Styela clava: one gene and its partners. The protein of the gene in region 1 binds, or shares a complex with, the protein of each later gene. Links are inferred from orthologs where the notes say so. Each region holds a gene or a part of one and is shown in the gene's direction. Other genes may lie near its edges.

Evidence for each region.
Region 2: meckelin-like (region 1) and transmembrane protein 231-like share a complex: the UniProt entries of both Homo sapiens proteins name them as parts of the tectonic-like complex. The link is inferred for Styela clava from reciprocal best matches to the Homo sapiens genes TMEM67 and TMEM231.
Region 3: meckelin-like (region 1) and coiled-coil and C2 domain-containing protein 2A-like share a complex: the UniProt entries of both Homo sapiens proteins name them as parts of the tectonic-like complex. The link is inferred for Styela clava from reciprocal best matches to the Homo sapiens genes TMEM67 and CC2D2A.
Region 4: meckelin-like (region 1) and transmembrane protein 237-like share a complex: the UniProt entries of both Homo sapiens proteins name them as parts of the tectonic-like complex. The link is inferred for Styela clava from reciprocal best matches to the Homo sapiens genes TMEM67 and TMEM237.

What each region holds. Positions count from the first base shown.
Region 1 is NC_135263.1:15,826,658-15,835,092, forward strand, and holds the start of meckelin-like, read left to right. Parts: upstream 1-5,179; 5' UTR 5,180-6,046; coding exon 6,047-6,230; intron 6,231-6,631; coding exon 6,632-6,711; intron 6,712-6,952; coding exon 6,953-7,049; intron 7,050-8,045; coding exon 8,046-8,130; intron 8,131-8,435. UniProt on the Homo sapiens protein: Required for ciliary structure and function. Part of the tectonic-like complex which is required for tissue-specific ciliogenesis and may regulate ciliary membrane composition.
Region 2 is NC_135264.1:10,087,932-10,096,000, reverse strand, and holds transmembrane protein 231-like, read left to right. Parts: upstream 1-4,880; 5' UTR 4,881-5,040; intron 5,041-5,841; 5' UTR 5,842-5,848; coding exon 5,849-6,784; 3' UTR 6,785-7,517; downstream 7,518-8,069. UniProt on the Homo sapiens protein: Transmembrane component of the tectonic-like complex, a complex localized at the transition zone of primary cilia and acting as a barrier that prevents diffusion of transmembrane proteins between the cilia and plasma membranes.
Region 3 is NC_135259.1:2,066,442-2,074,931, forward strand, and holds the start of coiled-coil and C2 domain-containing protein 2A-like, read left to right. Parts: upstream 1-5,355; 5' UTR 5,356-5,396; coding exon 5,397-5,743; intron 5,744-6,155; coding exon 6,156-6,268; intron 6,269-6,625; coding exon 6,626-6,698; intron 6,699-6,883; coding exon 6,884-6,997; intron 6,998-7,199; coding exon 7,200-7,387; intron 7,388-8,380; coding exon 8,381-8,490. UniProt on the Homo sapiens protein: Component of the tectonic-like complex, a complex localized at the transition zone of primary cilia and acting as a barrier that prevents diffusion of transmembrane proteins between the cilia and plasma membranes.
Region 4 is NC_135253.1:6,409,715-6,418,353, reverse strand, and holds the start of transmembrane protein 237-like, read left to right. Parts: upstream 1-5,447; 5' UTR 5,448-6,425; coding exon 6,426-6,709; intron 6,710-7,224; coding exon 7,225-7,415; intron 7,416-7,649; coding exon 7,650-7,807; intron 7,808-8,280; coding exon 8,281-8,423; intron 8,424-8,639. UniProt on the Homo sapiens protein: Component of the transition zone in primary cilia. Required for ciliogenesis.

The sequences.
Region 1 (8,435 bases):
AGCTACCGAAGTCGGCATCAGATATTCAAATACTCTAAGCTCGAACAAGTCTGTAGATGAGCGGTCGGGCCATAATCGATGGCCTTCAGAAAGCCGAAACAAGCCTTGGATTCAAACAACAATTTGACAGTCAAACACCATCTTGCTGGTGGTGATGTTTGGCCAAATCTTCTTGACGACGAAGTTATGAGACGGTTGAGATGTTATCGGCCGTTCCATTGATCACTTTTAGTCAAGCTTGATCATGGCCAATATGCCGAGTAAGCAATACCTTGAACCTAAATGCTCATATTAGACATCATCGACATAAAAATATGTAAAAAGTAATGACAGGCAAAGTACAATAAGCACCCTAAAATTGTACCCAATGTCAAACAGTCAGTTATTTTATATCTGCCATTACAAAATAACAAGTGCACAATTGGCACAAAAACGTAGCCTACCACTTCTTTTAGCATCACCTTTTAATCTAAAACCTTACTTAAGGTTTTGTTTGCTCTCCTAATTCTATTATCAGTTTTATTCATTTTGTTTTTATCTGATATTTTATCGTCTATTATGCTGATTAGGGAGTCGAAATGAGCTTTTTTTATACCAGCAGTCCATGTCGGGCGTGGAATTAGTTAACCAGTTTTTCGTTTCAGGTGCATGAATTTTATGGCGCGAGAAAGCCGTACCAAACCGGCGGTTACACGAAAGACCCTACGGCGGTGAAGGGTACAGCAATCCTCTCGTACATAATTACCTCCTACGGGATTCTACCCCACGCAAGGTAATCAGGGGTGCGATTACAGAGCGTATTCCTAACTCTTTGTACGATACACCACACATGAGCAAATCGAGAGAGAGAGATTTATTTTTAATCAACCAGAAAAAATAGCAACAATAAAATACAATAACATATGCAAAGTTTTTCGGTATTGACTAGGAGGAGCGATACGACCGTACGGTCATCAGAGTCAACTCCCCCCATATTCACTATTTTAAATATGTATATAAGACTTATTAGGTTAGTGTATGGTGTAAATGGGAATAATTGTTGTAAAGTTGCCTGGTTTTCTACAAGATATATATATATATATATATATATTCAGGTTTGACTATATAATAGGGTGACCATATTTTCAATCCCTAAAAGGAGGACATATCGTTCGGTAGAACCACATCTCATCTGTGCCCGAGATATACATTATATATCTACTGAATTCTCTAGGATTAAAAATAGAAGTGACAATGGACGATGTGACGACAGTGAGTTGATGCATTTTTGTCTTTTTTAAAAAAACATCTGCGAAATAATCGATTTATTTTTCCTTAGCCCACAAGTATTTGGAAGTTCCTCTAATCCTCGTCAACATTGCTGCGTTATTTTGTGCAATATCGTAAAACTGGCTGCAAGAAATGTCGTTAAAATTGTAAACTAAAGTGAGTATGCTAGCAACGGACTCAAATAGAAAGTTTTCGCGTTCTTTCGACCACTGTGGTTGCATTAAAGAGAAAATGCGCGAAAACGTTGGCGTTATGCGAAATAATGCTGAAGTAATATTGTGCGATCTTTATCAGTTCGCTGTAAAAGTCCTGGTGCTGCAGGATTTGAAATATTCTGTCCATCTTTCATGTGCCATGAGTTTACAGTAAGAAACTGAATTGGAATGAAGTTGCTTTTCTACGAACTTGCATAAAGTTTGGAATTGGTCGAATAACTTGGCTTCATCAATCGAAACATTTTTTGCAAGCAGATACTCAACGCACGGTTCAACAATTCTCATCCAGTCAAAGCATTTGAATTCCTCAAACGAAGCTGTCCATTTTTCGAGGTATTGTACGCAAGACTCGTACAATAAAGCCACATCTGAGAGAAATACATCACATTCACGGCCTACGCAATTCAGATTTAATTTGGATTTGTATGAACGTGTGTTTTTTTCTCTCTTCAATCGTAGATTTAACAGTGCTAAGACAAGCTTTGATTTCAATAATTGAGGATTTTGAATGTTCAATATGCCTAATTTGGCCATTAAACACAGCAACAAACGATTGCAAATGTTTTAAATACAACTCACTCACAGGATTTTCATAAAATCTTTTTAGAGCAACAGGTGGCTTTTCAATAGACCGGAAATATGACTGCAGGGCAGGGTGCACCTGAATCATTCTAGATAAACTTGAATAAAGTGATAGCCACCTGGTCACGCAGTGGGGAAGTAGTTTTTTATACTGTGTATCCACAAAGTTACCATAATCCTTCAGTTGTTCTGTGCGTACAGTGTATATGCTGGAATATTGGTACGTTTTGTAAATAATATTTTCCACATCAATGCTCGTCTGATTGGTTTCATGGTGTAAACAGTTATTCAGAACATGTGCAGGGCATCCTACCCCAATCAAATTTGGCAGGTTGATTTGCAATCGAGAAAATACGTTATTGCCCTTTCTAAAAGCCAATCGGCCGAAGTTAGTATTACAGTTATCGGCAGTAAATGAAACACATTTCTTAAACAGATTCATTTTGGTCGAAGTTTCTTTAATATCATTCGCAATTGTTGAAGATTTCTCATTCGTGGTACTTTTAACTTCAAGCAACTTAGACTGCAACCCACCATTTTCCCAGTCATGATATTGTACAACTATCGCGAAAAGTTTTGTAGCGTTATGATTACTGCCGTCTGTCGCTACTCCGAGATACAAAATATCATGTTGTTGATTAGTATTTAAGGCATGTTGAACAGTCATCGGGGCTAGAATATTATTCACAATAGCTTCAACTTTTGTCCGACCACAAAAATATTTTTTTGAAATATTTGAATCTGGAAAAATCTTCTTCATTAGATTTGACGTACAATCGTTAGATCTGAAACTCTGGTGATGTTTCACACAGTGAAACGCCATTATAGCTTCGGCGACAGCGACATTTCCTTCTATTTGAGTCCCAGGCGCACAAAAGTAGTCGGTCACCTTGGCTGATGATGTCTCTCCTCTAACAGATGTTTTATGCTTGGAACTCTCAACGTGCAACTGTAAGCTGAGTTTGCCCTTATTCGCCACAGAAACGAAAGTACCGTAGCCACAAGAAATGCACTCCGCTTCGCTGTCAGTTCGACCTTTTCTAAAGCATGGGTACTTTTGCTTTAGTTCCTGAGAGAAAAAGGTTTTCCTTTTCTGCATAATTTACTGGGTTTACAAGCGCAAGGATCTGCCACAATCGAAACTTCACGGAATTGCGATATACAAAGTGAAGTGACGTAAAACAGAATTGCACAATAAATGCGATTTTTACGTCATAAACGATTGTGCAGATCAATTATGCATTTAACCTCTAGGCAGGCCTGCACAACATACGGCCCGCTAGATACTTCTGTGCGGCCCGCGGGTAATTTGGGAACACGCCACTTCTCAGGTCTAACAGCCTAAGCCGGCATTGTTATGCAAGCGCGCCGCTACTCCGATCGTACTCGAAATCGTGAGATTTATGTTTTGCACTAGTTTCAATAAATATCGAACGTTGTGTGAAATTGGTGTGCCCTCCGCGACCCTTGAAATTCGTCGCTCGATCTCTCGCCCCCTAGTTTGGGAAACCCTGATTTAGATATCTCAGTATTCAAACTGAATCACGCTTAAAACAATATCGATATACAATCACACACCTATTAGTGCATATTAGCAACCTATTAATAACTCGTTATTTTTTACTAGCAGGTTATGAAACTGAAGTTTCTTTTTGAATCAAATTTAGAACTTAAAAAAGAAATTCTCGCACAAAAGATATTGCTATTTACTGTAAAATTTCAAATAAATTGAAGCAGATTTTGTAAAAACAATGTAATTTAACAGTCAAAAAAGTACAACAGAGGAAGATCTATCTATTGCTACTAAACGGATTATTTGTCCAGCCTACAATGGAAATATCCAATAATGGTGGATATGACTAAATAAATTGTCATATATATATTTGGGACGATTTTACAAAACGGAACCTGAGTGAAATATTTTCCTGCAGTCAGTTTATACTGCAACACGCAATACCTAATTCTAATAAAAAAGAAATATTGAAAATGAAGGGTGGGTTTTCAAGGTAGATGAACCATTAAATACATATTTGCCATCTCATATGCAAAAATACTGTACCTTGTTTTTACTTAAGAAAATAAGATTCTTCATATTTTTAAGCTCCCCAGTAATGAAAGTGTTTCATTAAATTTAACTGTTTCACAATATTATTTTGATTTGTAGTTCATCTTGTGAAATATGTATGTGGCAAAGTTTGCGGCCCGCCGGGCCTTCAGATTTATGCTTCTGGCCCTCGTGGGAATTTGAGTTGTGCAGGCTTGCTCTAGAGTAACCCCGCATGTTAACATAACGCAATGCATTGCTTGTCAGTTGTCATATCCTGGTCATATCTAATGATGATTACAAGTCTATATTTACTTTTTTTAACACATCAAAAATTTTTGGTTATATATATCATAAGGAATTTTAAAATAGTTAATCCCGTCCAAAAGGAGGACATTTTGACGTTTCAGAGCGTCCTCGGAGGACGGAAAAATTTAAGCGGACAAATCCTCCAAAAGGAGGACGTATGGTCACCCTACTATATAATTGTTTGAGCTTTGTACCCAAATCGGTACCGTGTTAGCCTATATGATACAGATCTAGGGTTAAAATCCACACAAGGTCCATAGAGTTTTTTTTTTATTACAGAAGACTATCTAGCAATAAATTATGAGGAAGCAAACAACAAACGCGAAAAAAGGTGTACAACAAAGACAATTTGGAAAAACCATATACAAAATACAAAGCGAGAAGTAAATGAACTATTTTCACAGAAGTGAATCAGATAGCATTGTATTTCCCCGACAATTCGAGTGACAACGTCTGAAAACGGCATTTAGTCAGGCCACATCCTATTAACTGCAAAAGAAAATACTTATATCGCACAATGGACATAGACTTGCTACCGGGCTGGCAGGCCACTCAGGCGCAGGACCTTGGTCATGTTCGTCAGAAATGTTTTGTTGCGATATATTTATACTCATTACTAGGTGTCGCTAATGGGAAACCTCCTAATTATCGCGCCTCTCCACATTCCTTTAATTAAATCTGTTGTTGTTCTATTAATGGCTTTTTACTTTTAGGTTAATTTCATACATTGAATTGTTACTTCGCTATTTTGCAGCTAAAATTCAGTAGGCCTATCAAGTATTCGCTAAATGAATGGATGAAGATACCGCTATTAAAAAGAATCTACGATACCTGGAAATGTTATTTAGTATCTAATGTGTATTTGCACAATCAAATTCAGGTGCAACTTTGCTTGAATGCGTTTATTATATTAACCATTTTTATACCCAACCTGTATTATGTAGCCTACGTAATTCTACTTCTAGCAGAATTTTTCTTTGCCCAAAAAGTTGATGCCTAATCGAGCGTGGCAAGGCGTTACGTTATATCAAGCGGTTCAGCGAACACAACAACATTGTACTTTCAGATCTTTGGTGTATCAACAGAGGGACGAATAATACATTAAGGTGGAAGAGTTTACCCGGAAAGTATTATTTTCCACTGTCAACTCTTTGATATATATTTGCTCTGTTTATTTAAACAGAGCCATGGTTGGTTAGGACGATTAGGCTGATTCTAATATCGGTTTTTATTTAACTTATTTCGTTTTATTTATCACCTTATTATTTAGTTATAATTTTTTATTTTATTCGTTTTTTTATCAATTATTTTATCATTCGGTAAAAATAAAATGAGCTCGTGATGAACTTCTACTTGAATAAAATGAAATTTTTTTTTAACATGGACCACCACTTGTGATTAATTCAGTAATTGAAGTTTAGCTTCACAATATCAATCTGTAAATCTTCAGATTTTTGAATGGTCAGTGAGCCTGAGAGATATCTCTGGAAGAAAGGTTCGTAATGTTCAACAAGACTTTTCAATTACCGTATCTGTATATTCTAGAAAATAAACTATTACTATGTTTAACTGATCATTGTTTTTTTTATGAACCAGTGACAATTGTTAATACAACATTTCGAAGATAATGTTCAGTTTTTTCATCTATTCGATTTTTCTTCTGTATATCCAATTTCAATGTGTGAGATGTCAACAGTTTGGATTCATTTCCGTGCAACCATCAGCTTGCTCTACTGAACAATATTACAATTTTGGAATTTTACAATGTGGAAATTGCCAAGATCCAGTGGGGATGCTGCCAGATTCTTCAGGTGAATGCGAATAATCTTAAAAAGTATTTTCTTAGTTTTTTGCATATCTCAATATCTCGGCGGTGTTGCGCTTTGTGCTAAGCATTAAGAATATGCTTGCCACCGCACCCCTGTTTACCCTGTGTGGGTTCATAGGTACGAATCCTGTGGGGTAAAATTGCGATAGGACTGCTGGACTTCACGCTGTCATAGGGCGCTTCAAGTAACCGCTCGGTTACGTCTTTCTCTACCATCAAATTCATGCATCTGAAAAAATTAATTGGCTAACTAACCCCATACCAGGCATGGACTAGTAGCCGAATGGGAGTCCGTAGTTTCCCATGTGATATAGCTGCTTATTAACTTTCCTTTCCTATGGAATAAATATGTAAATCTTATATTATTGATTATATATTTTTCAGGTTACTCATGCACATGCAGACCAGGTTATAAAGCAGACATCAACAATGTCAGAGTTCTGTCTTGTCAAGCATGTTCAAGCGTAAGTTATTTTTTGTCTTCCTACTAATATGTCTATTCAAATATTTTTTTCACATTTACAGTTTTTTCTAGCAAGTTATATCAATACTAGATTTTTTAACTTTCATTTATTGATTTCATATAATGATAAATCATACTCCATCCAAAATTTTCGAGTCATTTGTTTTGATTGTTTAATAGTTTTTCACCTGTTAGTTGTGAGTAATTGAACATGAAATAATCCTTAATAATGTTGTAAACAGGGAATAACAACTCCAGATGGATATTTCTGTTCATCATGCTCAAATGGAACGGATGTAAATGGACAATGTACATGTGCAGTGGATCAACAATTGATTAGTAAGAAAAATGATTTTTATTTATTTACATACAGTAGTACTTGGCACATATTGAATAAAACAAAAATCTTTAGCTTAAGTTTTCATATTGTTTTTTTTCATAACTTTTCTGTAAAATGATTTTCATGTACTTTGGCCAAATCATACATATATGGGGTTTGCGGAATATTTTGAAATGACTCACACTTCACTGCATACGATAATTTCTTCAAGTAGGGCTGATTGCTATAAGAAAGTATTTCAAAGAATTGATAATGAACTAATAGAGTTTTGAATTCAGTTTGACATTGTAATAGGCAGTTTGACACCACAAGCTAACGAACGAACTAAACGACACTTTGTGTATTTCTGTTGTTATCATTGATATTCATTTATGTAATATGTTTATATATGAGCTACTTTATATGCTTCATTTCAATATTTGAGAATCTTTTAGGCTTATTGTGGCTTTTAAAATTGGTCATACATAGCGACACCCCTGTTTTGGTATTGCTGGAAAACCATTTTTCTCAAAAGTACTGTCATACTGTCAGTATATTATATTCAGGACAAACCAGAAAGCCCCATTCAATATTTTTACAATTATTTTTCTTGTGAAACACCTGATTTCATGTGAAACACCTGACTGATTTGATTAAGAAGTATCACACCTATTAGATTACCAAATTAGGTTTCATAATAGGCTCATTGTATCAAGTTTATCAGATCTCAGAAATCAAAGCATGATTCTGAAATATTCAATTAATATCAAATTACTTCTGTGTCAATTATTTAAGATTGTCCATCCATCCATGATCTTGGTGTATGTACAAATAGATAGTGCCATGAGTGTGCAATCACTAGTATTGAGTTATGCTTCTTTCATACAAATTTCATATAATAAACACACATATCATATTAACCACGAGTTTTGTTAATATGTTCTTACTTAAATGCTTATTATAAATCAGTTTCAATTTAGTAAAATGAGAAAAGTAAAATATAAAATTGTTTTCAGTACCTTCATATTCTTCAGTAGTAGATTCTGTTGGAACTTGTTCATCTTGTTCTTCAACTTCTTTGGTGAACACTGGAAATTTGAAGTGAGTTAAAAATAAATGAAATATTGGTTTTAATTGTAAAATATATATTCAGTAATTGTTGCTTTTACTTTCTTTTATTTCAATTCAATCATTACTTTCGTAAATTCTCTTACACTTACTTTGTTCTCTCATTTCTTCTATGATAAATAGATATGAATGAATATAAAGGTCAGCATTGGCAATGGATTTTATTGAGAGTTTTCCTTTTTTTGAATTCTTTTGAGCGTGTCATAATTTTTTTAATTTTTTTGAGATGGTTCAAAACATGTTGAAAAGTTTTTAAGATATACAGCCCTGCAAAAAAT
Region 2 (8,069 bases), on another chromosome or scaffold:
CCTTCAAAATTTTTTCACTCAACCGGTGCGGTACCGGTAGGATAGGATAGGATTTACATATTTATCCCGGGGGAGAGGAAAGCCGATAAGACGGCTTATCCATATGGCGAACCACGGCCTCTCGTCCGGTTACCATTCCAAGTCGGGTACCGGTATGGGATTAGTCTTTACTGTATTGTTTGTTTTTCGGAACATGGACTTGGTGGTGGAGGAAGCCGTAACCGACCAGCGGTTACGTGAACCACCCAACGACGGCGAGGAGTCCAGCAATCCTCTCGCACATAACCATCCCTGCATGGGATTCGAACCTGCGAACCCACGCAGAGCAATTAGAGGTGCGGTGGCGAGCGTATTCCTAACGCTTAGCCCGTTGAGCCACACCGCCGCGCCAGCAGTACACCGCCGGTACTTATCCACACATTGGAAATTTCGGTAAATATCAACCCCAACATCATTATTAGTATGCAAAACATTTTGATTATGAACAAATAATAAATTTAAAATAAATAAAAGAAAGAAAGTGCTGGATACACCTTAATGCTGTAATGTGGCGCGGCGGTGTGGCTCAACGGGCTAAGCGTTAGGAATACGCTCGCCACCGCACCTCTAATTACTCTGCGTGGGTTCGCAGGTTCGAATCCCATGCAGGGATGGTTATGTGCGAGAGGATTGCTGGACTCCTCGCCGTCGTTGGGTGGTTCACGTAACCGCTGGTCGGTTACGGCTTCCTCCACCACCAAGTCCATGCTTCCGAAAACAAACAATACAGTAAAACTAATCCCATACCCGACTTGGAATGGTAACCGGACGAGAGGCCGTGGTTCGCCATATGGATAAGCCGTCTTGTCGGCTTTCCTCTCCCCCGGGATAAATATGTAAATCCTATCCTATCCTATCCTATGTGCTGAACAGACCACGAAACGTCGATTTTCGAAATCGCTGCCAGCATGATGCATTGGCAAAGCTGTTTGGTGGTGTATGGAGTTTCTTCCGGTTGGCCACAGACCGTAAAAACAATATTGCGCAAATCAGAGAAATTTTATTCGTCCCTCTCATTACATTGCCATGCCGTTTTTATTAATTGAATAAGCGAATTATAAAAAATTACGCATTGCATTCAAAAAACGATGTTACCACATATCCATCAAATCTAAATTTGCCTCTCACAAAGGTAACATCAAGGCAGTATGGAAAACAATTAATGAACTTATTGGTAAAAATAAAACAGGTTCTTGTCCTTTGATTGGACTCGATTGCAGTAATACACAAATTGCAAATAAATTTAATGAACACTTTTCCCAAGTGGCACAAACCCTGCTCGACTGTATGCCACAACCAGCTGGCTGTGACAAAAATTACATTTCATATCTTGGAAAGCAAGAATCCTCATCCATGTTTTTAAGGCCAACTACATCATTAGAAATAAAAAATATTATACGCGAAATGAAGCCCAAGTCAAGTTTTGGAATTGACGGTATTCCATTCAAAGTATTGAAACACGTTCCAGAACATATCATTGACATCCTGACATATATATTTAATCTTTCACTATCTAGTGGGTTATTCATTGAAAGCTTCAAGACATCTAAAGTTCTTCCTCTATTTAAAAAGGGTAGTGTTTCAGATCTTGGAAATTATAGACCTATTAGTCTTTTACCATCATTTTCTAAGATTCTTGAGAAAATAATGTATAGTAGAATGTCAAACTTCTTTGAAACTAACAATGTTTTCCACTCTCATCAATTTGGTTTCCGCAAGCATCACTCCACTGCTATGGCTGCTAATGTTTTGGTACACAAACTGACCAAGGCCTTTGAAAGCAAACAACATGCAATTGGAATATTTCTTGATATTTCAAAAGCTTTCGACACCATTGACCATTCCATCCTTTTAAGTAAGCTCTATCACTATGGAATTAGAGGCGTCCCATTCAATTGGATCAGGAGCTACCTGCAAGACAGGAAACAAATTGTGCAATATGACAACTCATTCTCTACAAATATTTGTGTCATGAAGCACGGAGTTCCACAAGGATCTTTACTTGGCCCATTATTTTTTCTAGCTTACATTAATGACATGTCCAGGTGTCTGAAATCCTCTGAGTCGATCATGTTTGCTGATGACACTGACTTGATTCTTCATGGGAAAAACCTTGAAGATCTACTCACAGTTGCAAACCAAGAACTAACCAACATTCATAGCTAGATGTTGGTTAACAAATTATCTCTTAATGCTAACAAAACTAAATTTGTATTATTCCACCCAAGCAAGCATAAAAGTGTGAGTAGTTCAAAACCACTACTGCTCAATGACAATGAAATTGAAAGAGTGAAAGAAATAAAATTTCTAGGAGTTATCTTTGATGAAAATCTATCATGGAAATCACAAATGTTGCATGTTATTGGTGAAACAAAAAGGAACTTGGCAGTTGCTGCTAAAGTATCCCAGTGCGTTAATCAATCAGCTTTACTAGCAATGTTTCAATCTCTACTACTAAGTCATATCCGATATTGTAGCTCAGTCTGGCTCCATGGTAATAAAACACTTGTCTCGAAATTGCAAAGCATTTGTAATAATTTTTTAAGAATTGTCTTTAGGAAAAGTAAACGTGAAAGCGTAAATCATTTCTATAAATCGCTAAATATACTCAAGGTTGAAGACATAATGAAATTTGAAGTATTATCATTAGTTTATGATTTTCATGACAACTCATTGTCAAACTGCTTTGACGACATACTAACCAAAACCACCTCCAATCGAAGAAGTAATTCCAATTTATTTATACCGTTTATGAGTAAATCTGTGAGCCAGCATGCCCTATGCTATAATGGACCTAAGCTATGGAACTCTCTCCCCTTGAATTTGAAGTCATTAAAATCCAAAAAATCATTTCAGAAACAAGTTAAGTCGTACTTGGTATCCAAATATTAAAAGTTATTTTCCCATAACCACACTGATATATATACTCTTTCGTATGAAATTAGCTACAACGTTTTGATAGCTCGGACACAAAAAATATTGAACCTTCATGAATGACCATGATAGAAAGTTGGGACACTCTTCACTTGCACATACTTATTTTCATGAAAATATTAAACAGCTACAATATTGCTATTGCTCCTGCAGCTGCTGATTGTTGTTGAGCCGGCAGTTAATCTCTCTCCACCTGTTCTACATCTATTGTTGGTGTGTCGGGTTCTGTAGCATGCACAGCAAATTATTTTATTTATTTATTTTTCAAATGGCTGTTTACACTCTGACATCTGCATGCGCATGTTCCCTTTTTGCTTAACGTTGGATTTTTGACATTACACATGCATGATCTTTGTTTCTATATGGGTGGTGTGATACCTTATGAGGGTTGTAGACCGTATAGTTTAGCTCCTGTACCTATTATTGTAATTAGGCGACCAGTGGAGATATATTGGATTCTCCCCTTCATTTTAATTTGTTGTGGTATTCTATGATTTGTTTTGTGTGTATACAAAATTTTATCCTAGGTTGAGGTTCTGCTGTGAAGTTGATGTGAAGGCCAACATACGAATGGTCAGTGTGGTTTGAGAGTTTCTGCATGGTTTGCGAGGAATTCACCCTGTGTCCCAACCATATTTCAACTCTGGTCTTTGAACTAGCGTTTTATAGATAGATAACTAATAATCAATATCTACTCGAAATAATAATTAATTCTAAACAAAAGTGTAGGGTAGTGCTGTTTCCAAATATGTAACCCTTGAATATCCTACTCGCAGATTTGTTTTCTGTTTTTCAGGTCGTTCTGTGATGATCAATACAATGGCTAGTTTATTGAATATAAATGGTGTCTACAACAACAAAATTCGCAGGCTGATGTCTCATCCACGATAAACTTGAACCTATTACGCCATAATAATTAAATGAAGAAATGATCCTGTGAAATAACAATACTAATTCCTTTATTCCTAATTCCTTTATCCTTGCAGAAGTCAATATCTAAGAATGAAAAAAAAAACCTTATAACCTTAGCAACCAACATATTCCTATACCCTGTCTTTCTACCTTAATTAATTATAATTACTCATACTTATAAAGTTACTGATAGATTTAAATACTTATTGCAATCTGGACTACAATTTGGCAATAATAGGCTCTAGTTTGGGCAATGAAGTGGTCTAGCCCACCTCTTCATGCACCCAATTCTGGCAACTTTGGTTGGGCATTTTGGCATTTGACTCCATCTATAATCAGCTTGACAATATATTTTTTTATAAAAGTTTATCTTTACTGTTCACTCCCATTTATAAAATTGATCAATTTGGCAGTGGCAATCATGATAAATTTATTAATATGGTGTGGCAAGTAATTTTTATTTATTTATTTTTTATTAACTACCAGTATGTAATTTTTCATGTTCCCTTTACTTAATAACTTCTATATGGTTGTGTGTGTGGGTGCGTGTGAGCGTGTGTGAAATATTTCAATTATTTTAGGTGAGTGAACACGTACCACATCTTCTTGGCAAAACCTTCCATCTTATATACATTCTGTACGTTTTAAACCTTATCTAAGGTTTTGTTCGCTCTCCTGATTTCATAATCAGTTTTTATTTATTTATTTTTAGCATTCATTTTATTGTTTTGCTGATTATGGAGTCGAAATAAACTTATACTTATTAAACTTATTATCCGGTACTGTTCATCAACTGCTTGCCACTCTGCGTCAAACACATTACCAATTTTAAAATGTAAAACGATGTCATAAATTTGAATAATTTTTAAAATTTCATTTATGTGTTTTGAAATAATGTAGTTAAAAATCGTTCATTTATACCTGTGTTACCTAACATCTTTTTTACTTCTGACTCTCTACTAGCCCCACGTGATTAAAATTTCCCCGTTTTTGCATTTGTGTACATTATTTCAAGCGGTTAGCCAATTATAAAATAAAACTTTGTTGTGGGCTTTCTCAGTTTCTCTTAAATTTAGTAAAATGTTAGTGATATACGGTAGTTAAATTGACATCCAAGATTGGTACCTGACTTCTACATTACTCCTAAGATCACTGGTAAGTTTAAAATATGTTTAAGTGAAAGGTGATCTTGCCACCTTTGGCAATTCTGTCTGGGCAATTTGGATGAAGTAAACTTTAACAATAATTAGCTTGGCGATATTTTTGATAAATATCATTTTTTCTGTTTACTTGTGTTTATTGATTTGGTAGTCAATGATTGAGAAATTTAAAAAAAAAATCAGAAATCATTGATATACAGATATAGGTGTGGGAGTGGCAAATATATTCTTTTTATTTTTGCATAATATATAAATCAGAGTTTCCCAAATTTTTTGGGCTGCGGACCCCTATTCGAGAATCTTAATTTTGATGGATACGCGCTATGTATCAATTTCCATTTATAACACAAATGACATTAATGTGATGGATTAGATTGCTTTCCACTGCAAAATTTTTCGATTCTAGGTCTTGACCTGTATTTTGTCATCATATTTATAAGAGTTGAAAATGCTGCCTCACGCATGTAGGACGTTGCAAAAGGCAATAAAATTTTAATTGCCTTTTCTGACAGCAATGGATATTCGTCCGCAACGCTCAACCAAAAATTTGCAATTGCTCTTTGATTGAAATCAATCATTAAATATCTATCAGACTTTTTTCGTATCGTTTCGTACCCTGTGCAGTTGTCACGGACCCCCGGGGATCCCTGAACCCCCAGTTTACCTCCAGCGACACCATTCTGTTAAAATTCTGTATGTTTTAAACCTTACTTCCGTACATACAACTTTATTCGCTTTTCTGATTCTGTAATGATTTTTTTATTTTCATCAGCTATTTCTTGTTTATTTTTCTTAGATTCAAGATGGCCGTGTTTGAGATCTACTCATTACCTGCATTGTATCGATACAAGTCGAGTGTTTGGTCGAAAGCTTCCTTCTATGTCCTGGCAGTGTTAGTTTTAACTTTCATACCACCTCTGCTAATTGCATACAGAAGCCAAGGATTTTGGATTACAACAAACACATATCAAGAACAACCAGACGTCACTTATAAGAAACAACTTCTTATTGTGGCGGAACTTGCAAACCCTGGTGAATATTTTGCATGGAGCACGTATGCAAATTTTAACAATTTATTACAAGGCAATTTACGTGTTCCCCAGGTGTCTTCCTTTGAACTTGATAATAATCGTGATGGTCTTAACGATCAACTCTCGCTTAATATAAGTGTTCCCCTCACATCTTCAGAACAGGTTGTTAGTGTTCACCTTCTGGTTATCTTTGACTACAAGTTATACAGAATGTCAACATTTGAAATGGAGAGCATGGTTTACGTATCACAATCTTCGGCTTTAGGTGGGGCGGGGGCGAAGGTGACTGGTGATCTTGGATTGTATCAAAGAGTGCCGTTATATCACAGAGGCACTGACATTAGATTCAATACTCCTATCATTGATTCGACAAGCACTTTTGCTTCAAGCTATGATTTATTTACTATCCTAAAAAACTACTCCCAAAGAAACATTACCACAAGACTTGAAAACTCGTACAGTGTATGGTCGCCTGGGCGTTTGCCCACGGAGCCCTTTGTTTTACAACTTGATGTCTTTTATCCTACAGAAGTGATAACCTACCAGCCTGGATTTTGGGAATTAATCAAATGGGGATGGGTCCAATATGCCACCATTTTGTTGCTCTTTTTATGGGTGTTTAAACGAATTAATAGAACTGTATTTGAAGGAAATGTCTTCAATACAGTAGTGCAACAACCAAAAGTGAAGATAATAAAAGGACTTTAGCATGTAGAGTGGAATTTAGATTAAACTATTTAGATGATGTGAACATCTCTGTTTTACATGAATATCAAGTGACTGAAGCTTTAGTTGGATTCCTGACCCTTTTTTATATCAAACTTATTCATTACTCAACTCTCAAGCATACATGTCACACTCAGAACCGGATATTTGGTTTGAAATCAGAATGGTTCGCTCCAGTATAATCAAACTGTGGCTAACTTGGGAGTTGAGCTTCTTCAGAACTGGAGCCACTAATACTTCTGGTAGCTTGATTGGCCTCAGCTTCAAGAAATTTTCAAGGCTCCAGCTCAGTCCTGATGAAGTCGAAGATAGGTTTTGTCAAGACTTTCAAGCTAGTCAGAAACAATAAATTCCATTTGACAAATATTGTGGCCATATTGCTTCCTGACTTTTTAGTTTGAAAAGTAAAACTCAAACACCAGACACTGGAAGACTAATTTTTGACTATAAAAATTTTGGTGTCGGTTCTGATTTTAACTGATGAAATTCAGAAAAAAGGGTTTGGAAATCAACTCAAAACTATTATAACAAAGTATTCTTTCTACTGCAATAGAGTATCAGTATGGAATAATTTCATTTCTGGTTGTATTATTTTGATAAACCAATGGTTTTATTTTGATTAGCAATTGAACGTAATTTGATATCAAGGTATTTTATTTAGTGATACCTAATATTTGAATATGAATATATTTTTACAAAAAAAGTTGAATTCTTGCTTACGGTATATCTTTGTTACGCAAATGCAACGCAAGAGGGATGTTGAAACCTGGTCAGTGCGGGGACTGGCCATGTTTATGCACATTGTAACAATGAAAAAAAAACTTACAATCAAATATGAAAATTGAAGGGTGAATGAATCTCATGGAAACTGGCATTAGAAATTACCATTGAGTGGGTGTCACACAGTTGGGAACACCATGCCATTATCTTAGCTTGTGTAATTCAGGAATACTGTACAGCAAAATGTCTTTCTCTCGACTTAATTAAGGTAGTCCACCCATGGATTAATGACCAATCAACCTTTACATCCAACGAACCCGGTCATAGGAAATTATGCTTGGCGGTGTGGCGTATCGTGTAAGGCGTTAGGGATACGTTCGCCACGGCACCTCTGATTACCGTGCGTGGGTTTGCAGGTCCGAATCCTATGCGGGGATGGTAATGTGCGAGAGGATTGCCAGACTCTTCGCCGCCGTAGGGTAGTTCACGCAATCGCTGGCCATACCTGACTGACAACCGGAAGAGAGGACATGGTTCGCCATAAGAT
Region 3 (8,490 bases), on another chromosome or scaffold:
TATCGGCAATGCATGACGAGACTGAGGATAGACTAAGGTTATTTCTTTCGATAGCACTCTTTATGTGGTGAACAATTGCTTCCGAAGATCCATTACTATCATTGTAGATGCCTAGTAAAGCATCGACACCACCACTGTAAAAAACCACTGGTTCGAACAACTCTAGGGAACAACTTCTTGTTGCTCTTATTTGATGCAGCAGTTCCAATGCTAAAAAAGAACACATTTTGCAAGTTTTTAATGCACATTTCTTGCGCTTTGGGCCCCAAAACACATTCAACATAGCTGGCTGCCTTGATGCGGCCACATGATAGCTTGGAAGCAACTGCAGAGTCAGGACACAGTTTTTTGAGTAGTTTATTGCCACAATCTTGACTGGCAAAGCTATGATGATGAATAACGCCATGGTAAGTTGAAACCAGTTCAGCTAAAATCACAAGCTGTTCTACTTTGCTGTCTTTCTTAACGAAAAACGCAGACAAAGTATTGTTTTCTTTCTGCAAAATAATAGTCCTTTTGTGTTTTAGCATGACTAGAAACGGCGTATTTACCATCATATTTAACAGAAAAGTACTGTCGGCAGAGTGTGCAGTAAAATCATCAACTTTAGATAGCCATGACATGCCTTCTTGTAACCATTCTGAACGGAAAACACAATATCGTTTTGAAAGTTTGCCTTTCTTTTTGGGCGGAGTTTGTTCCAATGTATCCTCCACATTACATTCTACATCAGAATCACTTTGCTCTACACACTCGGTTTGCAGGTTTGTGAAGATGACATGAGATTATAAATTGTTTAAAAGATAATGAAGAACTCCTATAACACCCGTAACGATAGTAATTTAATGATTGTTTACCACAAGTGAAGTTCCTGTCAAATGTTTAAGTTCAAACTTGTACTCTTTACAAAAATAAAGTAATCAATTCTAAATCCACTGATATCAGTGGCGTTCTAAAATAGTAGTGTGACACGCTTACATGGCCTTATATTCCAGCACGCCTTGGTTGCCAGTAAATTCCGAGACAACAGTAGTCCAGCCCGGGACACGGGACGCCTGACGTCAATTCCGGGACTGTCCCGGCCATCCCGGGACGGTTGGCAACCCTATTTTACGATGAAGCGCACCTTCTGCTGTTAGGACATGGAAATGAAAGAGTTCAAACGGTGATTACAGAAGATTACGTGGTTGTGCCAGGAAAAATCTGCACATTACTTGAGATATTGAAAGAGGCAACCAGCAGGGGTTCAAGCATGACGAGGCGACCCCCCATATATCAAATCAGACGCTTGTTTTCCTGAGAGAAAAGTCAGCAATGACATCCAGTGGACACCTCAATTATCGGACTGAAACCTCTCAGATTTTGATATGTAGGGTGTTCGAAAGACAATTTGTATCAAGACAATCCTCAAACGATTGCAGAAATAAAATAGAAAAATACCCAAAGAAAAGTGATTGACAATGTTGCAAAATAAATGCAATTCTTTCTTCAATGCCGAGGAAACCATTTGGAACATATTCTAGAAACAACATAATTTTTGTGAAAAACGTCCTAGATTTTCCGACACCTTTGGGTACAAACATACGTAAACAGAAGTTCAAATGTAGACAAAATTAAATAATTCACTCAATTTTCGTAGAAGTAATTGATGGTTCCGTTTTTTGGGGACTACGCTGTATAATACTGTTTTTAATATAAATCAGTTAAATGTGCTGCTTAAGTCACTGTATTTGATAGTTTGAACTTACGAAATACAAATGATAAACCGACATTAAACAGTGTCAGACACAACATGATATAACAAAAGGCTAGATGTTTGCCGTTTGTCGATTTAAGTATTAGGTATGTAGCCTTATTATTCAATGACGCAAGAAATAAAAATTAACCAGTTAAGTCGCAACATGGAGATGGTATTATCTGGCGTACGTCAGTTCAATCGGATGCCCAACTCTCACATGTTGCTCTTAACAAAACCAGAATTAGAACATGGGTGTTGTAGGATACTTACACTACCGCTTGAAAGCACCATAGAACCCGATAGTAAAATGAAGCTATAATTCAATACAGTACAACGAAACGTTAAGTGCATGGTGAAAGAAGCATATGCCGTATGCGCTAGACTGGTATTATTATGAAACAACAATACAGATTTAAAAAAATCATAATACCTATTCTACGTTAAGCGTGAAATTTCCAACACCGGGATCACAAACAAACTAATTTGAACCAAAACATAGGAGTAAATGACATAAAATATCACACTTTTTGTGAGTTCCCGTATTGATGTCAGTGCCCCCCAATCGCCCAGTTTGACAGCCAGCGCCCCCCACTCGCCTAAATCGCCATCAGCGCCTCCCAAGTTATAGCAAACGCCCACAAGAGGACGTTTTTGCCCACTTTGGGGACCGCTGATGTATATTCTCATCAGGTACCGTAATTCCTATCACTTAGACGGCGCACGATGTGCCAACAATTATTTTAACATTTCCCTGCTGACATTCAGGTACCTGATTTTTTATGCATTTATTTATTTTTATCCTGACATTTTGGGTTAGCAGACGACACGGTTTTGATTTTGTAGCCTAGCAACGAAAGTGACACCTAGCGGGCAGTTAATACAAATATAATTGTAAACATTGGAAACAAATTTTAAAATGTTATAGCACAGGCTTGCTTCTCCATAGTTCAATACTGTATTTAGATACTCCGTAGTAAAGAATGATATAAACTTAAAAGAAGGCCGGTATACGCCGATGAAACAATGAGAAAGTTTAGTAGTGCGCAGATCTGCAGATAGACCCACCTTTTTTATTCAAACTTTTCTGGCAAATTTGTTCACATTCAACTGGACATTGACTTGTTTTGTAGTTTTGTCAGTTATAGGCTTATAGCTACCGGTACCGGCAGTTATAAGTATGTTTTCAACAACAAAAATAAGTATAGTTTAAATAAAATCCGTCAGCTCATCCACCATTTTGTCTTCATACTCCTGTACTCAATCAATCAATCATTGTATTTCGGGTCTCTGACTAAAACGGAACAATACAAAAAAGTAAACAGACAACAAATACAGAGATACCTAAAAGAGAGCATAACTTAAAATAAAGTTAAAAAACGTACAAGTACGTGCCCACCCACCAAAAATAAAATAGGAATAATACGAGTAACGTTAAACAAAAAATTTGGACACGATTCAAAATCGGGCAGTGCTTACAACTCAATTTAAAATGATAAAAGCCAAATAATTGCTTGAATCAGTGGATAATTTACATGGAGTAAAATAAGTGTTGCGCTTGAAATAAGACAGCAAAATTCAGGTAGATAAAATTAAGTGTAATAGAATCCCAACGACCTCCTCCGTCTCTGATAGATGTTTCAAATGTTCGTATACGATTATGGTAGCTGAGAAATCACCAGGATTAGCCTTGCAGTACATATATATAAATAAAGCTGATCTCGAATTCTGTAAATTTTGGGTCTGAGATTCCTATATAGCATAGAAATATACAAGTCAAAATCTATGGGAGACATCGCTTGCTGTCAGAAATGAAAAAAATCACCGAAAACCTATCAAATGTGCAAGACAGATAAATAAATACATGGTTGAAAAACAGCATGAAGTTTTGAATAGTGGGAATAAAAGTGGGAATAGAAAGTGACAATAGCTTGAAATAGCTGTGAATACAAATACCAAACAATGCGTGCCAATGTTAGAAGAAAATACCTAGTGACTAGTAACACAAAAAATACACAAAAAAGCTATATACATTGGAACTATTTACCAAAACAATATCCAAACACTGTCAATATTGGCAGGCAACATGGCTGCATGGAGGTGTAGAATCATTTATTAAAACAATAAAAGCAATCTCAATTACACACACAAAGAAATATCATGGGCAGCAGTGAAACATTGATGTTACAGTAGAAAATTCAAATTATGCTGATGTCTTAGGCGGTACATAACCACTTATTGGCAGCAGAAGAGGAAAAAATAGATATTGCCAAAGCTCATAAAAAATACAACATAGATAATTTTGCCATTAAAATAAGATGAACAATTCAAGGCATATTTATCAAAAGTAACACAATACAAACAACCATGTTAAACAGAAAGCACACTTGCAATTGGAAAATTTGTGGGTGTCTTTAAAATTTCCATTCCCTGCCAGCAATGCCCAGCATACTATACTATTCATAGTGAAACTTCTTTAGTCCTTAACTTTGTTATAAAGTGAACAGGACATCCTGAGATATGGTGAAGTGCTGATTAATACCATTCATGAAGTGGCCAAATATAAGTTCAACAGAGTTAAAAAATCAAATTACAGAATTAAACTGGCTTGTGTAGTTATGAGTGGAATATCTGTGGCAAAAAGTCGTACATTTCTTCACAACTCTGTTGTATTCACTTTCCAGCTTTTCCACTTTCAGACTTGTCAGCTGTCTTTTCCAACCCCAGACCCTCCAAATTGCAAAAATAGTTACCAGTATTTAACCAAATTGTGTTGTCCATAACACAGCGATATGTAAAATCGTGTTTGAACAATCAGTTTGATATTTTCAGTACTTGGAGACGGAAGAAGTCGTTAGAAGGATACTCCATTTATTTTTTCTCTAAAATCTACACGGCCTGATTATGATTTAATCAGGATGGGCATAAATAGCTTAATCAGACTACCGGCACTGGTAGTCGGTAATTTTGCCCTTCGGCATGAAAAAGTTTGCCGACCCCAACTCTAAACACTAGAGTTAGACTACTTCGTGTTCATACTGTCACCGCGTACCACTTTAACCTATTCTCTTTCCAACAATTAATTTGCTGGGTGGACTTAGACTCCTGCTGCCATTCAATATTACTCAGGCTTGAGATGTCAATATGTATTAGATATAACTTAAACAGCAAATAATCAAACTGTCATAAAAGTTCAAGTGTTGGTGGTGTCAATTTAGCATTTCATATTTCTGTATTTGATAATAAATTGTCATTGTGTTTATCTATCATATTTCAGTATCGTATTCGACAGACTGGCATATAGCAACAAGATACGCTTCATAAAGCTCCATCTATAGACCATGTGTTACAGACATCCCTTTAAATTTATGAATATGCATCCCCCAGGCCCAGAGTAAAGAAACCTGGAAACACTGTTCTACAGTTCTGAACTATATCCAAGTTATGTCTTAATGTCAGTATGTAGGATAGGATATGAATTACATATTTATCCCCAGAGAGAGAAAAGCCGGTAATATCGCCTATTCGTACTTCGTAGTCAAACTATAGGGTAGTGATACTGAGAGGTCTGTTGAACATCCTATTGAATGTTTATTTTAAATTTGTGATAATATTTTTATGTAGTGTCTCTTATCATCTGTAATTTTTGAAAAGTTGAAACATGGATTCTACTTCGGATACTTTACAAAAAAAGTTGCAAGAAAGACGAAAAGCAATGAATATAACGATGCAAACAACTGATTCAACAGCACTTGATGTTACTACAATCAATAATGATGACAGTGATGGTGATGCTGATATTCCTACTATTGGAGATGAGGAGACAGCATCGACTAGTCGTTTGATTGAGAAACTAGAATCTCGTCATGATGCTACACGTAAAAGACTCCAAACTTCCGAAATGCTTCGTCCTCAATCTGATGTTCGACTTCCTACTTCAAGATTACAAGAATCACCAAGGTCTATCACACCAGCTATGTCACCTGGCCAGTCTCAGGAATTGTCTCGGTAACTTACCTCCGTAAAGTGTACTGAATAGATATGACTTGACAATAATTTCAAATTATCATTGAAGGGCATGACCCCGACTATATTATTGCTTAGGAATATCTAATAATTTAATTCAATGAATATATGGGTAATGCCAATATTAATATTTTTTCCTAATTATTTTTTGCAGTCCCCAATCCGAATTGGAAAGCACATATTATTGCTTAGTTGTATCTAATACCGGTAATTTAATTCCATGAATATGTTGTGTAATGCCAATATTGATAATTTTTCTAATTATTTTTTGCAGTCTCCAATCCGAATTGGAAAGCACATATTATGGCTTAGTTTTATCTAATACCGGTAATTTAATTCAATGAATATGTTGTGTAATGCCAATATTGATAATTTTTCTAATTATTTTTTGCAGTCCCCAATCCGATTTGGAAAGCACATTCAACAGCACATTTGGCACTCGATCTGCTGGAATGTCCTTGCGTGATAGATTGCAAGCCAAGCTTCAGGCGGCTAAACAAAAGCGAGGTATTTCGCATGAGTAACATAAGGTTTATTTACTTTAGCATTAATATTTGGTTATTTGCATCCTTTAAAGCTCTAAAGCTCCTTTGAGTACACCAAAAAGTCAAATTAAAATTGTACATTTATCTAACAGTGAAAAAGGTAATTTAAATTTTCGAATATTACATTATAATTTTTTTGTGACCAATAATAAACACCAGATTACCTTTTTAGGGCATAATAATAATGATAAAAACACTTGGGATGTTACCAATCACACGGGAAAAATGAAACAACAATTTTTTTTTGATAAAACATTGACAAATATAATGATTTATTCACTATTGTATTGTCTTTTTTATCAATGAAAATATATTTCAGAGTTTTCTCAAATGGGCGAAGAGAGAAAAAGAACTCAAAGATTAAAAGAAAGGCTAAGAGACTCGAGCACCAGGTCAGTTGTTGAATTTAGATATGAAATTGCAAAGACTGTTCATTTTCAAAATAAGTTATGGTTATAATTTACGCAACACGTATGGATATCTTGGAAATCTTATTTTCGCATGGATACCGAAGCTCAAATAAACAACTTTCGATTTGTCATATATGAATATGAAAAGATTTTAAATTTTTTTACAGATTTGATGTTGATCCATTGCGTACTCTCAGTCGACCTGATTTAGAAAAGGAGAGAGAATTGGAAACCAGAGTTTTGGCGAAATTGCAATGGAAGAAGGTTCTACAGAAAGCTAGGTATGTTACCAATGTTTTACCTTACTTTTAGTCATGATAATTCTGCTATCTCTTGGATATAAAATGTAAAGTGCTCAGTATCTCATCTTTTCTTCATGCTCAATTGTGAACCGATTATCTATTTTTTTTTTCAAGGTGTTCAGTCAAGGTCTCATCTTTTCTTCATGCTCAATTGTGAACCAATTATTTATTTTTTTTCAAGGAAACAAATCGGTCAACCTAGCGATATTGATTGTTATGATTTTTTCACGAAACAATTTGAAGAAGTAACGGTGCAACCTGAAGTTGAATCTCCTGATGTTGCAACAACAGAAGAACATGCTGAGCAGGTTGCTGAAGAAGAAATAGAACAGGCTCCTGTAGTAGAAGATCAACCTGAAACTGCAGCAGGTTATTTTTTATTTCTTTGTTTCTATATTTATTTTCTACATAAATATTAACTAGAATTACAGTTGTTGCTCAGATGTTATTATCATTAATGCAGCAGTTGTCGGTAATGAAATAAGCTTCATTGAAAATTTATCAAACGACCAGAAAAGCGATGACATATCAGATTTTTAGAAGATCTTCTGGAAAATCTTTAATATTAAAATTTAATCAAGCAATGAAACACTTGAAATTATAACTCATGTACATTGGCTGAAATTAATTTAGTTTGGGTGATATTATAGTGTGTTTGTTGCCTTGTTTATTTAAAAGTTTCATGGCTTGCTATCAGCAGATTCCATTCATTAAATTTCCATTTCTTGACGTGATGACGTCAAAGTTATTCACAAGAAATGGTAAACTCACCAAACATGTGCGCAGCAACCCTAATGGAAGTTTCAATGAAACCCCAACCTCTATACCACTCTTAGATGTTACAAATCTGGAATTAAAATTTATGTCTTGAATTGCAAAGCTGAGACTTAACAGTGAATTCAAATTTCTATTTACACATCAATACTTGACAAATTTCGAAAATTCTGCTAAATTGGGTGGATTCATGCGTTACGTCGCACTAATTGAACTTATGGAAATTGGATCTAGCTGATATAAAATTTGTATTTTGAAATGTCATACAAAAATCTTGTTGTAAAAAAAATTATTAGTTTACACAAAAAAGTATGATTTTTATTTTTTAGGGGTATTTTTAGGATCGAGTTAGGCCCTGGCAAGAAGTCTCAATTGGCTCTTTGAAACGTACAATAGCACGTAAAAATTTTATTCCTGCTTTTTCACTACATATAGACCGCCTCATACTTTTTTATCTCTATATATATATATATACATGTATGAAAAAATTGATCCATATTCTATCATTTGTCAGTGCATTTTCAATCGATTACAATTGCATTGTTAGAACATAATGAAGCATAATGCTAACTATCATGATTTTTACAGATGCACAAGATGAGCAACCCACAGAAGAAGTAGAGGAAACTGATGATGAAAAAAAGAAATTACTTTCAGAGATTATTCCTGAAGAATTAGATTGGAAACTTTTCAATATA
Region 4 (8,639 bases), on another chromosome or scaffold:
TTCGAGCAGTCTGCAAAAATTTATATTTTAGTTACGATATTTTGAAATAAATTGTCTACAACAATTGGAGCTTGGGCCTTGTCTACCATCTAAGCATGTGTGATTTATATATTTGAGTATAACAGCCACTTTGACAAAGTGTTATTTGAAACAAAAATGTGAATACCTCATAAAACAAACTGGAAATAATAAAATGTAACGATTCCAGGAGAAATATTCATGCATTCAACGAATGTGGTGGATTTTGCAGTAGCAAAATAGTTAATTGCTATTTATTTCAAATAAATAATTTAAAAACACTCGACAAAATAATGCAAAATTTTTTTGGCATATTTAAAATTATAAATATATATATGTTGAAGCCATGTTTAGATAATAGCAATGGTGGGTATCCAATTTATGTGAATAAGGGTATTAGTACCAGCCTGAAATTAAGCAAAATGGATTCACATGGCAAACGTAAAGCACCTCTTATGTTGTCATATGCAGCTGGTGACTTTGTATACAATGACAGAATCAATGGGGAAAAATCCATCATAAAACACTCATTATTTGAAGTTAAAATATGTGTGTTCAATTTATGTTTTCATACCGACCTTACAATTTCAGGGTGGTATCGTTCACCAGATATCTTTTTTGCCGAAAGTTTTAGTTCCTCAATCAAAAATTTTCGTTGATATGGCTGTATGGTGTAAGTTGATTCTGATTTTTGAGATAAATCATTACCTATTAGTCAATTCATATCCTTGCTTACTGCTACACGGCATAAATCCTCACACTACAACTTTTTTATGATTCCTTTCTTCCTGAAAATATACATATTAGGTTACTACATAATATCTTGATTTCTTATCAAAATTTACATTCCTCGACAAATCATTTCTGTATTGGCTACCTAGGACATTCACAACTTACTCTTTTTATGCTTAACAATCGTAGCACAAAGTGATTCTCTACTACATCTACTCATTGGAGCCTTGAAGCGAATTTGAAATCTTCAGATCTTACTGTCATTTGTCAACATGCTTTTAAGTGCTAGGACCGGTTCTAGGGCCTTCCCTCTCAAATGATTGCTCTTCTATTTTGTTTTGTAATCTGCATTCTATAATAAAATCTTTATTAAAGTTGATGCACAATTAATTTGAATATTTATAAAGCCACTCACTTAATCTTGTCGTGAGATAACGCCGTCAGAACACAGAAAAACGCACGATGATTTTGGAAGCAATAATCTGTCTGCGCCTAGTCGGGCGTGACGGCGAATCCAACATCGGGACAAATATCGGAAGTTACACGGGGTTGGTCAAACCAGAGACAATGCATCTTTGGTCAAACCGTTCAATTTAGATTTTCACCAGTCGTTGATTTGCACTGAGCAATGACATTAAACAACATGATGCGCAACTCCGGCATTTTTGTCCGAAGATCGTATTCGATAGCACGCTCCAATGCACATACTTGACGAGACGAAAACGAGCGGATGTGTGCTGCTTTCAAGGCGTAGCACGAATGGTGTTCGTGCCTGTTTTGACAGTTGTTGTCGATTTTAATGATATTTTTGAAAGTTGGGGTAAAAAGAGATCGGTAAAAGGTAAGGTGAATACTATTGTTGTATATCACACCCGGGCATCGCACTGTTAAGTACATGTGGGAAAGCCAGCCTTTGTCAAATACTACGAAGTTATTAATTCAGTACGCTACGTAGTTGCCCATTTGCCGAAATTACATATTTACTTACCCCTTATGGTTTCAAATAGTTCATGCACCTCCAGTTAGATTTTTTAATCAGTGAGGATATATACTCATTGTTGATTGCTGCTCATTGTAACATACTATTACGCATTCACTTTTATTTGCGTATTGAATCAAAGTGTTAACAAGTTCACCTAACATTTCACTCATACCGGTCTATGTTGTATAGTCTGATTTCTCAAGTATTTGGAGCCACGAATGCTTGTAATTTTCTGACTAAACCCTTTTATTAGTTGGTTTATATACCAAATTCAGTAAAATATTTTTTAAATAAAACATAAGATATTGGATTTATTAGCTTTTCCATTCTGAATCATATAGACTGCTTTATTTATTCCTAACGAAAATTAATAAATCTCCTCTCTTTCTTCAGATGTGAAAGTTGTGGACAAACCTGTCTAAGCATTGTGAGACTCTTGCAGCACAAGAGGCAATAGCAGAAATAGTAAGTATATCAATCAAGAAATTAAGCCGACATAAAGCAAAACTTTCAACTATTCGTCTAATTTCAAATTCCTATTATTTATTCACAGGACAACTATAGCAGACGGGGAGATATCAGAAGTCTGGCGACATATCAGTGACAGTGTGATTCCAAGAAATATAATGGATTTGAAAATAGAAAATTGCAATAGAAAAACAACCTATGGAGGCATGCAAAGACATTTGACCCTCCGGTAGAGTTGTGTATGGCCCCCACATCCTGCAGGGCTTGAGGAAAATAACTAAAAATTCCAAAGCGTAAGATTGCATAAGCGGTCTTATTTGTAAAAAGGCACAAAACACGCCAGACATACTTAAAACAGCTTTGGAAATGAGGATTACGGGTACCTCACTGCACCTGTGTTATATTTGGTTCATCAACTTTTGGTAGTACTATAGAAGAAATTCCGGAAGGGGTATAATCATCATTCATGATAAAATACTATCATATATTTTTTGAACAACTTCAATCTAGACCAGGGATCTCAAACTCGCGGCCCCAGAGAACTTCCAGTGCGGCCCTCGAACGTTTAACAATAATTGTAATAGTATTTTGGAAGTTTTTTTATTTTTATCTAAATGTAATAGATTTTTCAAACCTTCTAAAGTGAAATTGATTATTCACACAGAAAACAATTTACTGAAAGTAGTTTTGGAATATTGATTTTTTTTTGTCCACATTTTGACCCAATCAAGAATACACATCAAGCTAGCAAAAGAATACTTGAATAAAACACTTGAGTAATTAAATTAAACGCAAAGTACATGAAAAAGGTGGCATTTTCGAAGAAAATGGGAGTTGTAACATTTCTGCTCTTCACAAAATTCTGAAGCACATTGTTTAATTTGTCATATTTCCATCAATACAATCAAAAAACACAATAAGCTAAGCAGTCAATATGACAAATTCGAAGACCAACTTCGAACAGAAAATTTCCATGTGTTTGTATATTAATATAATTATACAACGACTTAGTTACTAAAAATCAATATCAATAACAATTCAAGCAATCCTATGCCACGCAATGTAGTGCGAAATGTCTTGTCGAAAAAATCTGTCATTTGTTTTTTTACTGATCTATACATGAAATGATAAAAGTAACTTTTTTGCATTACTGGAATTAATTAAACATTCGTAAAGATCCAGATAAATCCATGATCATGTGGCCTCGTTAGTTAGAGTTGGTACTATAAAATCATTTCAGACTGGCCTTAGTATGCTGGTGACACAAAAAAGATGCCAAACGCCAGGACAAATGTAATTATTAAAACATTGAGTTTATACTGTAGTATTTTTGTTAATTTTAGGTTCATATATTTAGATTAAGTTATTTTTAGTGTATGTATTATTCTTTCCTTATTCAAAGCTTGTTCAAAAATGATTTTGATGGTTGTACATAGAATTTTACGATTTTTTATAATAAATACTGTAACTTGCAAATGTTGCAATAATAGTGGAATGCAAATATTAATATGTAATTGCATTTGAAATTGAAGAAAATAATAAAACTTAATCCAACTGTTTAGTTGCATCACAAAATATGTCACAAACTAACACTATCTTAAAAATATCTTTTAAGTATACATTATCAAAAACTGTTTGCGGCTCTTTTTACAATTTTCAAAATGCAATGCGGCTCTCGAAAACCCATGAGTTTGACACCACTGATAGACGATTCAAGCATTGCTTTGGGAAATTATATCACTTCAATTAAATTGAAATAATCTCGCTATATTAAATACAAAATCGTTGCTATCATAAAGGTAAACCAATTCAGCCACTCGAAATATACTGGCCTTCACAAAGCAATGGAGGCAAAATTGAGAGTTCATGAGCTATGAACATTTGTTCTTTTCTTTGTCTTGAACTTTCCATACTCCACAGCCCCTATTAATTTTTTTTAATTTTAATTATCATGTGATGGTCATACATATCTTTAATTTGTATTTTCTGTCATGATGTATTATCTCAATGTGCCAAACTATTAATTAGTGTGCATATTTTGCTTCCAGATGACATAAATGTATTGTCATGTTTATTACCTCAGCTTGGAGTATTGACAAGAAAAAGGTGCCAGTAAATTAGGTAAAAAAATTTTCAACTCATTGTTATAATCAGAATTCACAATCAATAGGAATTATAAACAGCCAACAATCAGTGAGAATTATATGCGAAATCCCTCAGAATAAATTTGTCTAAAATCGGAGGAAGGCAAAAAATATAGGTAGTTTCCATCCACACAAGCATTTCAAGAAGACTTGCTCGAGCCAAACTAAATGAGCATCGTCAGGTGATCGGTAAGGCTGCAAGTTGAATTCAGCCCTGCAACCTCCTGCATAGAAGATAATATTAATTAGTGGGCTATGAGCTAAATTCCTAAATTTAAACAAACCTATCTACGATGCATTATGTACCAGCAATGTTACCTACGATTAACTGAATATGTAATATGTCTAATAAATTCACCTACAAATGCAAGTTCGATAGGTGCAAACTTTGTGTTATGGAATTGTATCGCAGCACAGTTTTGTATGAAATTTCAATGATTAAGCGCAAACATTAAAATTACTAACTTTGAACTTTGTCATTATCTGCAAAATGTTCCACACTAATCTTTCCGCTATCGCGTTTGTAATCTTCTCTGATAAAAAAAAACGTCTATGATGTCCAGAATTGCTATTTACAGCTTGCCTGTTATTCCAGCTTTCCAAGTAAGCAAAACTTCTTAGATATAGAGATTATTTTGTTTCGTTACAGGCGCAAAAAGGCAGGTACTATACGTAAAAAAGACGCCGAGTAGCAAGAGCGAGCGGAAAACGGACGCGAAAGGCGACGAGAAATATGTGCATTGGAGCGTATCATGAAATACAATGTTTTGCCTGTAGTCTTATGGAGTGACGTCAGAGTTGCCCATCATGTTGTTTAATGTCATTGCACTGAGTAATGAGATATATATTCTCATTGCACTGTGACGGTCATTCAACAGCGGTTTCGGGCATTAAATTGAGTCTGTAAACTGGGTTTCATCATTGAGTTCTTAGTTGTGAAACGTCGTTTTAGTAGGTAGCAGAAAGGCAAAAAGAGTCGAGCAAAAATGTTGTTCGTTGGGTCAAGGATAGGATAGGTCAAAGGTTAAAAAAACATCAAATAGAATCCCAGGTCAGGTCTCAGCTTTATTTATGCATGAGTTGGTGCTCGGCGACGGGACGCTTCGTGTTGTCAGATTTTTCAAATTCTTTTAACCAATTGATTTAATGTATTAACAGTTTTCTTTTGGAAAATTTAATTTGACATGTAAATTTTGTATGCAAAGATGGATGGTATAAGTTATAACTATAAGTGTAACTTAGAACACAAAGACAGATAGTTCATTTCGAAAACTCCATGTTACACATAGCAGCATAGCTTGGAAATGGAGACCTCTGGAGAGCGAACAGAACTTTAAAACATGAGAAATATTATGTGCCTGCTCACCAGCACACACGCAAAAAGATTACAAAAACACAAACTTACAAGGATTAGGCCAGAAATAAATAAACAATCTATTTCAATGTATATCTATATACAATCAATGAAGTTATACCTCATTCCCTAATTAAAGCCAGTTATTACTAAATTATAGTTGAGGAACCGCCGCAGTTTATAGATTATTTTTAAAACTCCAGAATACATACACACAAATTAAATTGGAGAATTCTGGGAAGCTACGAAAAATTCTAACGTTATATTCTGATATATTATTCTATATTAAGTTTAAAACATAAGAAATATCATGTGCCTGTTAATTAACATATAAGTTTACAATGAATCAAGAAAAGGTACTCGCTGCATTTGGGAATAATTGGAAGCCTATTTTATATCAGTGTATAGAAATATTGAAATTTTCAACTTCCCAAAAATAAATTGTCAGCTTGACTTTGTGTCCAATAGAAGAATACAGTACGGTATATTGTCAAATTAGTTAACTTGATTTTTTGTTATTCAAATAATTATCTCTTCATTCGATTCAACCACAAGAAATTAAATACCCGTAACTAATCATTCTTTACTTTTTAAATGAAGGAAAAGTGCGTACTCCTCACATAAATATTTTCTGGAGGATTTAAAACCCCTTATTTTCCAGTCATCTGAATGTAGAAGATTTTGACCAATTTACAAGTAGAATTTTTTAAAACTTGGATTTTTAATAATGTCACTCAGTGAACCCCGTTCGCTTCCTCCTCGAGCATTGCCTCCACTAACCGCTGGTGCTTCACATGTTGGTGATGGATCACAAGTGCCGACTCCTCGAAAGAAAACCAGACCACCTACCAGCGGAGCAGACAATTCACCCGGTACAGGTTCGAAACGACCTGTAACGAAAACGAGACGCCGAAGAAGTCCAAGACAACAGGATGGAATCGAAACAGGATCTTTACAACCATCTTCAGCAGCGGCCAGTGTAGCTGATGAAACTCAAATGAGTGAAGGAAGGTTAGTGTGAATCATGTACAGACTAATAGATAAGATTAGGAATTTTCTTTCTTAACAAAATGTTTTATACCTTTAGATCACATTAATTAAAGGCAAAATTAATGCTGTCCACAATGGTCATTTGTATACAAGATGTTTAAGACCTCTGACAGAATAATGGTTTTCAGATGAACAGAAATCTTTCACTAGGGTCTGTTTATTTTGAGCGCTGTAACATGTCAAACTGTTGTATTTGAATAATACAGTCTTGTCTAGTGAGCTACGAGTATGTGTACTCCACGTACAGACGTATTAGAGTTCTGGGTCTAATCTGCAAGCTGAAGTACACTTTCTGTTTGGCACTGTCTACTCTATACAACTTATTACATTCTCAGTGAGGTTTGAGCCAAGGATCTATAACCTGTGATGCCTACGTAGTCATGTTCTCACCACCAGTATTCTCATCCAATAGTAAATTTAGTTCTATGAAGTGAAAGGACACCTCGTTTAAAAATTATGATTTCTCTTATGTTTAGTGGACCTTCTTCCACAGCAAAGCCCAGGACAAAAAGAAGAAGAAAACCAGCTGGTGCTAATCAGAGTCCTGGTGGAACAGGAGAAGTATCCACTGGAAATACAGTTTCAGCATTGCTACAAGATGAAGATGTAGTAAATGTTGAGAAAATTGAAGATGCTATAGTAATGACAAACCTTCCTGGTGTTGCCGGTGAGTATATATCTTTCATAACTGTCATAGATATTCATCTAGTTCAATCAAATGTAAACAGATTTTAAGAAAACCTCATTTTTTCTGCGCAAACAAGATTAGTTTATTACACAAGCATTTACTCTATTATTGTGGTATTTGAACTTACAAAATCTTGTATAAAAACCTGTTAAAGCCAGTGGAAACCGTCCTTGGTAATTTTTCCAGTGTTAAAAATGCTGATTTTTTGAATAGCTGGATCAGGTGGAAGTGCGGCAACTGACAAAGTCTATGTACAAACTACCAATGGATTTGCAACACACAATCAAGATTGGTTGAATGACCGTTTTATGAAAAGTATGGGAAGCGAAGCACAAATGACATATGGAGAGGCAACAATGAAACCGTCCAATGTGAGGATTGATAGGATAGGATTTACATATATACCTCGGGGCGGTTACGTGAACCGCCCTATGGCGGCGAGTAGTCCAGCAGTCTTCTCGCACATAACTGTCACTGCATGGGATTCGAACCCACGTAGGATAATCAGAGGTGCGGTGGCGAGCGTATTCTGAACGCTTAGCACGATGCGCCACACTGCCGAGCCTATCCTGCCACCGCTGATCTTGTGGAGTAGAAGTTTTTAGTCTGAACCACTTAAAGTTTAGATTTTTTTCAGTGGCTTGCCTAGAAACCCAATGGGGGGGTGTTTAATAGTTAAGAAATTATGACATCATAATATGACCCACTTGGTTTGCTTTTCTAATTCTATTCAGTATATTTTCCAATCAGAAATAATCATTGTATCTGGACTACTTTGGTCACAAATTAGCTAATTAGAAAGAAGCCTTAAAAGCACTGATAAACATCATAAATTCATTTCCAGATTGCCGAGCAAAATGAGAAAGCATTTATGTTCATTACATTATTACTGCATGGTGCACTAGCTGGATTCTCAATATGGCAGGTTGTCATCAGCTATTCCTTGAATGGTTTAGGGGAGCAGAATCTTCTAACTCAGTATCAAGGGTAAGTATTGTGTATTAAAATAGGATAGGATTTACATATTTATCCTGGGGAGAGGGAAGCCGATAACGCGGCTCAATCATATGGCGGACCGTGGCCTTTCGTCCGGTTACCAGGGCATGGGATTGGTTAGCCAGTTATTTGTTTCTGGAAGCATGGACTTGATGATGGAGTAAGCCGTTACCGACCAGCAGTTACGTGAACCACCCTGCGGAGGCG